Oryctolagus cuniculus: one gene and its partners. The protein of the gene in region 1 purifies or fractionates together with the protein of each later gene. This does not show direct contact. Links are inferred from orthologs where the notes say so. Each region holds a gene or a part of one and is shown in the gene's direction. Other genes may lie near its edges. The genes, in order: SRF, MYOCD and MRTFA.

What was found.
Region 2: the proteins of SRF (region 1) and MYOCD purify together in Homo sapiens (affinity purification with western blotting; 3 studies listed by BioGRID and IntAct, with this or other methods). This does not show direct contact. The link is inferred for Oryctolagus cuniculus from reciprocal best matches to the Homo sapiens genes SRF and MYOCD.
Region 3: the proteins of SRF (region 1) and MRTFA purify together in Homo sapiens (affinity purification with western blotting; 4 studies listed by BioGRID and IntAct, with this or other methods). This does not show direct contact. The link is inferred for Oryctolagus cuniculus from reciprocal best matches to the Homo sapiens genes SRF and MRTFA.

Annotation. Positions count from the first base shown.
Region 1 is NC_091436.1:126,878,352-126,882,616, reverse strand, and holds the start of SRF (serum response factor), read left to right. Parts: upstream 1-1,422; 5' UTR 1,423-1,769; coding exon 1,770-2,285; intron 2,286-2,482; exon of another isoform or gene 2,483-2,659; intron 2,660-3,900; coding exon 3,901-4,167; intron 4,168-4,265. UniProt on the Homo sapiens protein: SRF is a transcription factor that binds to the serum response element (SRE), a short sequence of dyad symmetry located 300 bp to the 5' of the site of transcription initiation of some genes (such as FOS).
Region 2 is NC_091448.1:56,827,185-56,830,727, forward strand, and holds part of MYOCD (myocardin), read left to right. Parts: coding exon 1-713; intron 714-2,885; coding exon 2,886-3,029; intron 3,030-3,543. UniProt on the Homo sapiens protein: Smooth muscle cells (SM) and cardiac muscle cells-specific transcriptional factor which uses the canonical single or multiple CArG boxes DNA sequence. Acts as a cofactor of serum response factor (SRF) with the potential to modulate SRF-target genes.
Region 3 is NC_091442.1:116,748,064-116,752,058, reverse strand, and holds the start of MRTFA (myocardin-related transcription factor A), read left to right. Parts: upstream 1-1,165; 5' UTR 1,166-1,180; coding exon 1,181-1,639; intron 1,640-3,995. UniProt on the Homo sapiens protein: Transcription coactivator that associates with the serum response factor (SRF) transcription factor to control expression of genes regulating the cytoskeleton during development, morphogenesis and cell migration.

The DNA of each region.
Region 1 (4,265 bases):
CAGGAAGCTGGGAAGTGTACCAGTAGCTAGGACTCAACCAGGCACTGGTACGGGCTGTGAGGCTCCCAGGGGGTGACTGAACCAATATGCCCCATATCTGCCCCAATTTTTTTTTTTAAATGCTGGTTGCAGTACACTAATGTCACTACCACTACCCCTGATGGCTCACAACTGTTTTTATTGAATCTTCACAAAGGATTTTTAAGGCAGGAGTCACCAGGATGTTTATGCCTGGGAAGAGGTGACTTACCCCAGGTTGCTCTTAACTCTTCCCTGACCACTTCCTCTGCTCTTGGGTCTTTTTCTCATGGAACCTGTGTTAAGAATCTCGTGGTCTGAGGAGTATGGAGTTTGGAGAGATCGACATCCCTTGTTTCACAGGGCTAGCAAGAGGCAGATTGCAGATTGGACTAACTTCTGTAACAGCGAAGTCCAACCTGATTTCACTGCATTGAGGCAAGGACCCGGACTCAGACCCTTAGCTTGGGCCTCATACCACCCCATCTCTTCACCTTTTCAATCCCCTACCTCCTTGGGCTCCCCGAGCCGACTTGCTTGAACTCAAGCAAGAGCGTGCTTGGCTTAAACTTTCTGCCCCCCACGCTTTCTCCCGCGCCGCCCGCGCCGTGGGCCATCCCCTCCCCCAGCCCAGCGTGCAGCTGGAAGTCTTCACCGCTCTCCATCTCTCCTCCCTGCCCCCATCGGGGACGAGGAGGCCGGCTGTCCGTCTCCCCCGCCTTCTCCAGATGTAAGTACGTCTACCAAAGACCCCCTAAGTGCAGAGGATGATGAATGAGGACCGGGGGCCGGCCTGGTGGGAAAGCGCTGTCCCCTTGAAATGCGAGGGAAAGGGAAGGGGGTTGGGGGCTGGGCTGGAACCCGGAGCGGCTGGACGCGATGTCCAAAACACCTCGGATCCAAGCCCCCGCTGCTCGGCCAGTGACTTTTCCTCCCTCACGAAGGCGTGAGGAAACGCTCCCGTCTCTGTCGTTGCAATCTGGACTGTGATTTCTTCATTTACAGCAAACCCCCCAGTCCACTCGGGGGCTCCCTCAAGTTTGCTTTCAGCTCCCTCTCCGCGGCGCTCCGGTCCTCTGCCAGGCAGCCCCTCCGCAGGTCCCTCCCAATTCTCCACCATTCTCCGGTTGGGGGGTTAGGGGGCGGAGTCTTGCCTCGCGTCCTGTTCCTTTAAGAGGCGTCGGCTCCTCCCCTTTCGGAATCGCGGTCTGACGCGGGATGACAGCAGCGAGTTCGGTATGTCTATGCAAATAAGCGCCTCCTGCGGGCCAATGGGGAGCGGAGGTGCCGGAACCGCGGACCAATAGGGCGGGGGCGCTGGGGCTCACCATATAAGGAGCGGCCTCGCCATAAAAGGAAACATTGTATCTCTTTATATGGGGGGAAGGGTCGGGGGATCCCTCCGCCGCCAGCGCGTGGTCCCGGCCCCCTCCACCCGCCGTCTCGGCCGCGGCCAGCAGCCCCTGCCCCCCGGGGGACGCTGACGGCCGCTGAGCGCGCCGCCCTAGCATACGGACAGGGGGCGCTGCGCGCGGCCTGGGGCAACCCGGGCCACAGGGGCAGGAAAGTGAGGGCCCAGGTCGGCCCGGGCGTGCAGGGGCCCCGGGTTCGCAGCGGCGGCCGCGGCAGGGATAGCGGCACCAGCAGCAGCAGCAGCGGGAGTGCCGGGTTTCGCCGGGAAGCCGATGGCGGCGGCGGCGGCGGCTCCGATCCCTCGTTGACTGTCCGTCCGCCCTCCTGCATTGAGCGCCATGTTACCGAGCCAAGCTGGGGCCGCGGCGGCTCTGGGCCGGGGCTCGGCCCTGGGGGGCAGCCTGAACCGGACCGCGACGGGGCGGCCGGGCGGAGGAGGCGGCGGCGGCGGGACTCGCGGGGCTAACGGGGGCCGGGTCCCCGGGAACGGCGCGGGGCTCGGGTCGGGCCGCCTGGAGCGGGAGGCTGCAGCGGCGGCGGCGACGACCCCGGCGCCCACCGCGGGGGCCCTCTACAGCGGCAGCGAGGGCGACTCGGAGTCGGGCGAGGAGGAGGAGCTGGGCGCGGAGCGGCGCGGCCTGAAGCGGAGCCTGAGCGAGATGGAGATGGTGGTCGGTGGGCCCGAAGCGTCGGCGGCCGCCGCCGGGGGCTACGGACCCGTGAGCGGCGCGGTGAGCGGGGCCAAGCCCGGCAAGAAGACCCGGGGCCGCGTGAAGATCAAGATGGAGTTCATCGACAACAAGCTGCGGCGCTACACGACCTTCAGCAAGAGGAAGACGGGCATCATGAAGAAGGTACGGAGCCGGCAGGCTGCCGGCCGCGGGGAGCCCCGAGGGGTGGGGACGCGCAGGGGGAGCCCTCAGGGAGGCAGCGCCGAGGCGGAGGTGAGAGGCGGCGAGTCTGCAGGAGGTGTGTGGGAGGGGAGGGCGCGAGGGGAGGGGCTGTCGGGGAAAAGTGGGGAGAGGGGAGATGCGCCGACGTCCGGAATTGAGGGAAAGGGCGCCGAGGTGGGAGTGACCGGCGCGAGAGAGGAAGAGGCCCTGGCCGAGTGAAGGGGCCGAGGAGCGGCGGCCCGCGTGTTGGGTGATGAGGCGCGGGAGCCTGTACGGGTCCGGTGCACCCTGGGGTTCCATGGAGGGCGCCAGGAAAGCGGGGAGCAGAAGAGCAGGTATGGAGGTGAGCAGGCTGGAGCCTGCGTGGGACGGCGGTGGGCACCACTGGAATGGTGCTAGCCGGGACGACAGGCGAGCGGAGGGACCAGGTAGGGGAGCGAGGCCGGAGGCTGGCTGCCCGCTGCCCTGTGCCTTGCACTGCATCCACAGGCAGGACTGGCCGCAGACCTGCCTGTCCTGGGGGACCAGTGGGGTTCCCAGCCTTCAGGAGAATCTGTGCGTGGAGTTTTGGGGGGGGGGGAATCTGAGAGGTTTGCACAGGGACCTAGAAATTTGCCAGTTACCCAGTGAAAAGTGGTGAGGAAAGGCGTCATTTTGGGGGGGTTGTGAAAGATATGGGAATGGATAGAAGCAGAGGAACTGGGAAAGAAAAAAAAAAAAACACTAGAACCTTGGGAACAGTGACTGGTGTTTTTGTCTGTCCCATATGGAAATCCAAACTGCTCCTAAGGTGGGTTGTGCAACTTTGTTGGGATGGTTGATAGCATCCCTGGGGGTCCCTTTCCTGGGCTCATGGCAAGGTATTTGTTGCTAATACAGCTCCCACCTGCCATCACCTTACATACTCTCATATTGGTGTCCCTTGTCACTTGATCATCAGTGGGGAGGCTGTGGGGAGGTGGTTCATGAAGGGAAACCCCCCTGCCTCCCTCCCTCCCATCCTTCTTCCTTCCCAAGTCAAAGAAAAGAGTAGCACAGTATGCTTGGGTAGAAAGAGAAGTTAGGGCATGGCAACAGGTTAAGGCCTCTGTGGTTCCTGGGCAGAGCTATGGGCAGTCTTAGGTGAGTGCTTATCACGGATGTCAGGTGTGCAGTCCAGTCTGGTAGGGGTCTCTCCTGCTCCCTGTGACTGTGGGGAAGGGGTGGGGGGTCTGTGAAGCTCCAGGCACCAGGCAGTGTTGGGGGGAGGCTGACTGCCTCTCCCCCTACCCCCTGCCGTGTCCCCTGAGGTTATATATTCCATCACTGGCGAGATGTGACTGTTTGCTGGGGGTGTCTGTGGGTCACTGGGGCTGCTCCTCAAAGGAAGAGGACCTGAGTCCTCTTGCTGCTTCAAGCTCACTTTCAGATATCATGATAGGACCCCCCCACACACACACTGCCAGTCACTCAAACAAAAGGTCGTTATGGGAGTGGGAAGTTGCGCTCACTGAGTAGTTTTCCCCTCTCCTACTTCCCAAGGAAGGTAGAAATCAACAGTTTTGCTGACCTGCCCATCTCCCTCCCCATCCCCCAGGCTTATGAGCTGTCCACGCTGACAGGGACACAGGTGCTGTTGCTGGTGGCCAGTGAGACAGGCCATGTGTATACCTTTGCCACCCGCAAACTGCAGCCCATGATCACCAGTGAGACCGGCAAGGCGCTGATTCAGACCTGCCTCAACTCGCCAGACTCGCCACCCCGCTCAGATCCCACCACGGACCAGAGAATGAGTGCCACTGGCTTTGAAGAGACAGATCTCACCTACCAGGTGTCGGAGTCTGACAGCAGTGGGGAGACCAAGGTGTGTTTGGATCGCCTGTGCGAGGGGAAGGAAGGGTAAGGGGGTCCCACTCCCTCCCCAGTCCAGGACTAGCGCACAGGGGCCCACCGCTGTGCAGA
Region 2 (3,543 bases), on another chromosome or scaffold:
TTGGCAGCACCAGCTCCAGCCCCCCCATCTCTCCTGCCTCCTCCGACCTGTCGGTGGCTGGATCCCTACCCGACGCCTTTAACGACGCCTCCCCCTCCTTCCTGCACCCGTCCCCAGTCCATGTCTGCACAGAGGAAAGTCTTATGAGCAGCCTCAATGGGGGCTCTGGGCCTCCGGAGCTGGACGGGCTGGATTCTGAGAAGGACAAGATGCTGGTGGAGAAGCAGAAGGTGATCAATGAGCTCACCTGGAAACTGCAGCAGGAGCAAAGGCAGGTGGAGGAGCTGCGAATGCAACTGCAGAAGCAGAAGAGGAACAACTGTTCTGAGAAGAAGCCGCTGCCTTTCTTGGCTGCCCCCATCAAGCAGGAAGACGCTGTCTCCAGCTGCCCTTTTGCATCCCAACCAGTATCTGTGAAAAGACAAAATAATGGATCGGAGAGTCAACCGCCAGCTTGCGAGACTGCCCAGCTCCTGCCCCTTGGAAACACCCATTGTGTGGAGTCCTCAGGTCAAACCAATGTACTTTCTTCCACGTTTCTCAGCCCCCAGTGCTCCCCTCAGCATTCGCCACTGGGAGTGGTGAAGAGCCCCCAGCACATCAGCCTGCCCCCATCCCCCAACAACCATTACTTCCTCCCGTCATCTTCCGGGGCTCAGGGAGAAGGACACAGGGTCTCCTCGCCCATCAGCAGCCAGGTGTGTTCTGCCCAGGTAAGAATGGCTTGTACCAGGGGCCACTGCTCTCTTCGTTCAGGGAATGTGAAATGGATTCCCTTGGAGATTTCAATGCTAAGGTTTACCAAAAGCCCAGCAGGAAATCCAAACACTCCAAGCCATCACAGCAGACCAAACTCACCTGTCCTCCAAGACAGGGCTTGGCAGGCTTGTTCTGTGAAGGTCCGGATAGTAAATACTTTGGATGTTGTGGGTTATACCATCTGTATCACAACCATTCAACTTTGCTCTTGCATCATGACAGTAGCCATGGACATCTTGTAAATGATACACATGGCTATGTTCCAATGAATCTTTATTTTCAGAACCAGGCAATGAGCAGGAATTGACTTGTGGGCTGTGATTTACTGACCTAGCTCTCAGGACTCTTGGTATCAAACCTTACCATGGGCCAAACCAATTCATCAGGATGGCCAAGGGAAAAGTACCAAACCATACTCTTCCCCCATGTAATAGTATACACAGTGTATTAACTGAGCACCTACTATGTGCTGGGCCATGACTCTAGCTAGTTTGAACTAGCTAAACAAATGGTAAGCAAAAATAAAATGCAAATCATGCATTGTATTAAGCACAGAGGTGTATATGAGGGGTTTGGAAGTTGCAACTTTAAATCGAGGAGCCAGGGACATTTTAGCAAAATGTTGCTAGAGATAAAAGAGAAAACTTAACGAATATTGGGATGAAGGCATTGAAGGCAAAGAAGGAGCATCAAGTGTGAGGGCCCCGAAGTGAGAGTGTGTGGGAAGTTGGAATCAGAAACATGGCCAGTACAGCTGGGACAGAATGAGAGGAGTTGTAGAGATGGCTTACAAGAGTTACTAATTCCAAGACTAGACGAGGGGCTCAGCAAAGACTCCTTGTGTTCATGAAGGTGGAAAATTATAAGGAAAGTCTGTCAGAAGTCAATTTGAGAAAAAAATTAATCAAGGGGTCTTCTAAAAGTTTATGGAAAATGTGTATTATGCAGAAACAAACTATGCATGGGTTTCAAAATATTTTCATTAAAAGAAATGTATCTTTTAATTCCATTTTCCACAATCTTTTTGAACTGTGCTTACGTTATCAAAACCTGAAACCTACATTACCCAGAAAAAAAATTCCTGCCACATTTCAAGTAGCAATGAGATGTAAGTATCTCATTAACGTCACAGTGATCCTGTGTGCTCCAATCTGTTGTTCAATAATTGCCATTGAGGAAAAGGAAGCTGATAGAGATTAGACCACTTGCCCAGGACCACAGGAACCCAGGGTCTGTTGAGTCTAAAGAACTTGCCCTGTTCACATTGGGTATCTCTACCCTGTCAATATGCACTCAGCTCAAGGTAAAGAAAATGAATGTTAGCAAACCTAGCAGAATAACACATTAAATCAGTGATGCCCACTCCTCTGAGGGTACTCTGGGAAGAGTTGAGACTTAAAGGGGCTATCATCATTGTTAACAAACATGTGTTCAGTGCATAGTATCCTACGCACCAAAGACAAAAACAAAAAAAAGGGGGGGGGGGCTCAAGACAAAGTTCTGGGCCATAACTTTCCATTCTGATGATATTGGTGCTATCAAAAAGACCAGCATGTCTACAGTGATTTATGATTTACAAAGATTCTCTGAAGACATTAACAATTCGATGATCGCAAGATGAAGATCAAGATAGGATAACACAACTGCTCTGTACTTAGGACATCAATGCTGCACAAAGTAGGTGGTGGTGAGTCAGGGCACAGATTGATCATAAAGGGCTGGAAATCTCTAGGGAGAGTTTGTAAAGGAAACGGACTGTCCAGGAAGCGCCACATTAAAAAGGAAAGAGAAAGCAGGAAAGGACATTCCACGTGGACAGATTTAGGGGGTAGGATGTTGAGGGATGCTCGTGGTGGGAAGAGTGGAACTGAGGTTTGTAGAAGTGATGGCGCCAGTACCCAGGTTACGAATGGAGACTGCATGCTGTGGATACCCCAGAGCCCTTGGAAGTTGGTGAGTAGTAGGTGATTTGTCCAAACTCAGGTTTAGGCAGGTTCATCTGATAATGGACTTCAGGAAGGTTTGCAAAGGTAAAACACCAGGCACACAGGCCAGGACCACAGAGACCACACACAAGGAAGTGTTCTGCTGCTGGCCATTTAATTTGTCACTTCTGCCTTTCCCAGAACTCGGGAGCACACGATGGCCACCCTCCAAGCTTCTCTCCTCAATCTTCCAGCCTTCACCCCTCTTTCCCTGGAGCCCAGGCAGACAGCAGTCACGGTGCTGGAGGCAATGCTTGTCCCAAAAGCCCAGGTGTTCCGCAAAAGGTGGGTACCAGGAATCAGGTTTAAATCTGGGATCCGCTTACCCTCCAAAGTGAATGATGAGATTCAGAGACAGCAGTAAATTTCATTTCAGAAAGAATCAAGTCCACTCAAGGTACATTGAACCAGATGTATCCCTAGGGAGTTATTTTCTGGGGCCAACTCAGAAATCATGATTAAAATGGCCATGGTTTATTTGCAAACCACCGCGGACAACCAGGCAAGTTTTGTGTTGAAGTTTGGAAGAGGGGCACAAGGGATAATAGTGTTGGAGAAAGAAAGAAGCATAGAGTTCCAGGAAAAGGACTGGCGAGGAGCAGAGAGATAAGGTCATAGTGCAGTATCTTTGAGAAAAAGGAAGAGATGACATAAATTGATCGGTAGAAGGAGTCACGAGTGTGAAGGGTCCAGAGATCCCTCCTCCTTGGGGAACTCCAAGGAGCAGTGAAGATGTGGCAGGAAAGAGACAGATATAAGCTAGTCATAGCAGGAAAGTGCCACCTGCCACAAGTCACAG
Region 3 (3,995 bases), on another chromosome or scaffold:
AGGTCCACTGTCCTCGGGACACCTGCTGTAGACACTCCTGCCCCGGAGTCACCAGGGCACCGGCTTCCGCCTCCCTGCAGGGAGGTGGGCTCACCCCCAGGGCGGCCACGGCAGCTTATCTCTCTATCACCTGCACCATGACTTACTCAGGGTAAATATTTGTGGAATAACTCATTTTTTTTGGCCAGGGCTTTTGTGGAAGGGTGCTTTTGCCTTGGGGGAAAAGTGTCTGACACGTGGATCCTAACTCCAGCGTGTGGTACTGGCCCCGACGATGACTTACACATGAACAATCCGGAATGTCCCGGCCACCTGGCTGTTGCAGCACTGGCAGACGGCAGCGGCGCCCCCCTGCCCCCCATCTGAGACCCACACCAGCACGCAGGCCCAGGAGCCCGCAGGAGGAGGATGGGGGTCCTCCTAAGAGTTCACTCTCAGCGCCACTTCTCAGCCGCTGGGCCTTGGCACCGGACCTCCAGGAACCTAGAAAACCCTGCTCGCCCCTCCTCCAGCTGCCTGAGGACCCCATCCCAGGAAGCCTCCGGGAAGCGCCCCCTCCCCTTCCTCCCCAGTAGGTCGGAGCTCCGTGCCCTTCTCCGCGGCTGCAGGGTGCGGAGCGAGCGGGGGCCTCGCCCGCCTTGTAGCCCGCGTTCCCGCTCCCTGTGCAAGTCCCGCACCAGGGTCTCGGGCCCCCTCACACCTCCGCCGCACCGGCCTCCCTGGCCCGCTCCTGGGGTCTCCCGATCGACCGCAAGCTCGGGGCTTCACTCCGCGCCGCCCCCTCCCCAAGCCCGGAGCGCTTTCCCCGGGGCGGAGGGGGTCGGCAGGTGTCAGGAGGAGCCCCCCTTCCCACCTGGGGAGACCGACTGCGAGGGCCGGGGCGCCGGGGCCTCGGTGGGGCGGGGGCTGGCCCGGGAATTCAGGGAATCGATCGTCTTCTGGGAAGCGTGACCGTGAAACCCCGACTCGGGAGCCTCAGGCGGGGCGTGAGCCCCTGAGGGGAGGCTCGGGATGGGGTCTGGAGGCTCGCGGCAGGGCATTGACCCCTCGGCAACTCGGCTGTCCGACCCGGCCCGCCGCCCTTCCCCTGACAGGGTGGCCAGGGGCTGCGGCCTCTTTAAGGTCCGACCTCCTCCCACCTCCTCAGAGCCGCTCCGCCAGTTCCAGACTTCCCTCCGCGATGAGGTCATCTCCCCGCCGCCCATTGGCTGCGCCGCGCTGTCAGTCACAGGAAGTCGCGCCGCCGTCCCCTCCTCCCTCGTTCCCCTTCCTTCCCCGAACGCCCCTCTGGGCCGCGGAGCCCTGCCCCGACTGGGCCTCTGATTGGCCAGCTGCGCTGCCACTCCTCCGGCGGGGCGGGGCGGGAGGCGGGAGGCGGCTGTGGTGGGAGGGCCCGCAGCTTCCGTGGCTAAGAGGAGCCGGCGGCGGCTGTGTCTGTGGTGGCCCCGGCGGCGGCGGCGGCGAGCGCGACCGGCCCTGCCTCCCCACCCCCTCGGCTCTGCTCGCCACACGCCCTCGGCGCGCGCCGACCTCTCCCCGGCCCCGCGCGCCCTGCCTGGACGGTGAGCCTCGGGAGGAGCCGCGAGCGGCCGGAGCCGAGCCGGGCGAGCCGCGGAGCCCGGGCCAGGAGAGCGCCGCGGTGAGTGGGAGTCCGGGCCGGGGACCCCTCCCCCACCGCCGCCCCGCCCCGCGCCGCCCCGCGCATCCTTTCTCCTCGCGGCCACGCCGCGCGCGCCCCCGGGGTGCGGGCGTCGCGTCGCCGGTCCTCCCCGCGCTGCCCGCCGCTCCCACTCCTCTCGTCCGTCGGGGCGGGGGTCGCGGGCCGGGGCGCTCGGGCGCAGCCTTGCACCTGTGCACCCGCCGGGCCGGGCCGGGCCTCGCCTCGCCTCGCTGCGCTGGGCGGGGAGGCGCGGGGGTTCCCGCCCAGGCTGCGCCCCGGGTGTGTGCGCGCAGCGGCTGCGGTGGCGGGGTTCCCCGCGCTCTGTGCAACCCTCGGGATCTCCGGGCCAGGAGACGCATCAGGGCTGGATGCCTGAGTGGCAGCCCGAACCCCGCCAGGTGGGCAGGGTCCTGTGCGGGTTTGAAACTTGCAAGCCGAGAACTTCAGCCTCGTAAGAAAGCGTCCGTCAGTGCGCGTTGCTGACAGCCCCTCGCCTGACCCTGCGCCCCTCGGTGGGACCACGAAAAAAAAAAAAAGGGGAGAAGCACTGGTATTGTGCAGCAGCTGGGACTGGACCTTGCGGGGCGACTCCCAGATCTGCCAGTGGCCAGCTTGAGCCTCGGGTTGCTCATCTGGGAAATGGGGGTAGTCGTGTCCATCGGATCTGAGCCTGGCGCGCAGTCAGGGCCCAGGAGCTGTTAGCTGTTGTGAGGTTGAGTTAAGGGCCGGGCTGTGGTGCCTCTGGCTGGATTTCTCTGTTTTCTCCGTGTTATGTAGAGCGGCCTGGTCCCCAGGTAACCGCCTCCCAGGCAGGAGCGGGAGGTGTGTGGCCACCTACGGTGCCACGTTTTCACACAGTTTCAAATTCGGAATGTCCCCAGCTTGCCAGCGTTTGAGATCGCTTCTGCAGGAAGTTGGAGCTTGTAGGACAGCTTGCATGTTCAGTAAGGGGCTTCCCTGCAGGGGAGCCCCAGAACTCCGGGTGGCACTGCGGGAAGCAGTGAGGAGGTGCCCGGCTGGCCCTGGAAGTCGCTGAACGTAAGCTTTGCCCGATGTCCTTTGCGTTTTTCACTGCAAGTCAAAGGGCTTTCTGATGCTTTCTACTGAAATGATAAACACGTGAAGGAGGCGTCTGGGGGTAGCGGCAGCGCTTGCTCCTGGTCCTTGCTGGTAACTGCTAAGGCTAAGAGTCATTCCCACTAGGGTGTGTGCGCCTTTTAAGAGTTAAATCAGGAGAGATGCTGGAATCACACCCCGTCATCCAGAAGTATCAACTGCAGACTTGCCACGTCCTTCGAGTGCTGTCAGATTCTGCGAGGGAGGGACTCGGGGCATAAACCAGGATCTCAGCCTGTGAGGGCAAAGCTGTAAAACCTGGGTCACCCAGGAGTGACGGTGGGTCCTGCTTAGATAACGACGCTGTGCATTCATTTAGCAGACTTTTATTTAAAAATTATTTATTTATTTGAAAAGCAGAGTAAGAGAGAGGGAGAAAGAGAGAGATCTTCCATCTGTTGGTTTAGTCCTGAGCTGGCTGCAACAGCCGAGGCTGGGCTAGACTGAAGCCAGGGTCCTGGAACTCCATCTGGGCGTCCTCTATGGGTGGCAGGGATCCAAGCACTCGGGCCATCTTCCACTGCTTTCCCAGGTGCATTAGCAGGGAGCTGAATTGGAAGTGGAGCAGCCGGGACTCAAACTGGCGCGTGTCTCAGGAGGTGGCTTACCCACTGTACCGCGATGCTGGCCCCTCACCTGTAGACTTTTGTTCCACCCCTCGAATGTGCCAGGTATTTTTCCGAGAGCAGGGGTCATCAGGATAGCGAGATGTCCCTGCTTGTGAGCAGCTCCCAGCAGTGGGAGGGGTAGGAGGGGCGGAGGGTTGTAAACAGGGCGTGCACTGTGGCCGCAAGCCCGGGGTTGTAGGAGAGGCTAGAGGGCCCTTCTCTGGCTGTGTGGGACGATGGTGTTTGAGCTGAGGGGCTCCAAGAGAGCTGCTGAGGTCAGAAGGTTTTCCCAGCCCCAGGGAGAGGCAGGAAACTGGCATTCCTGATGCGCCCTGTGCCCCAGGCCTTCAGCTCATCTTGTGATGTGCTGCTTCAGCCTTCCCAAGCCCCTGTGAGGCTGATTTTCCCTGTCTCTAGGAGAGGCAAACTGCGGTTCAGGGCAGGTAACTTGTTTAGGCTCATACAGTGAGTGAGGACTTAAATCTGATTTGAAAGCATATGTCGGGGTGGGGGGGGCCGGCGCCGTGGCTCACTTGGTTAATCCTCCGCCTGCAGTGCCGGCATCCCATATGGGTGCTGGGTTCTAGTCCTGGTTGCTCCTCTTCCAGTCT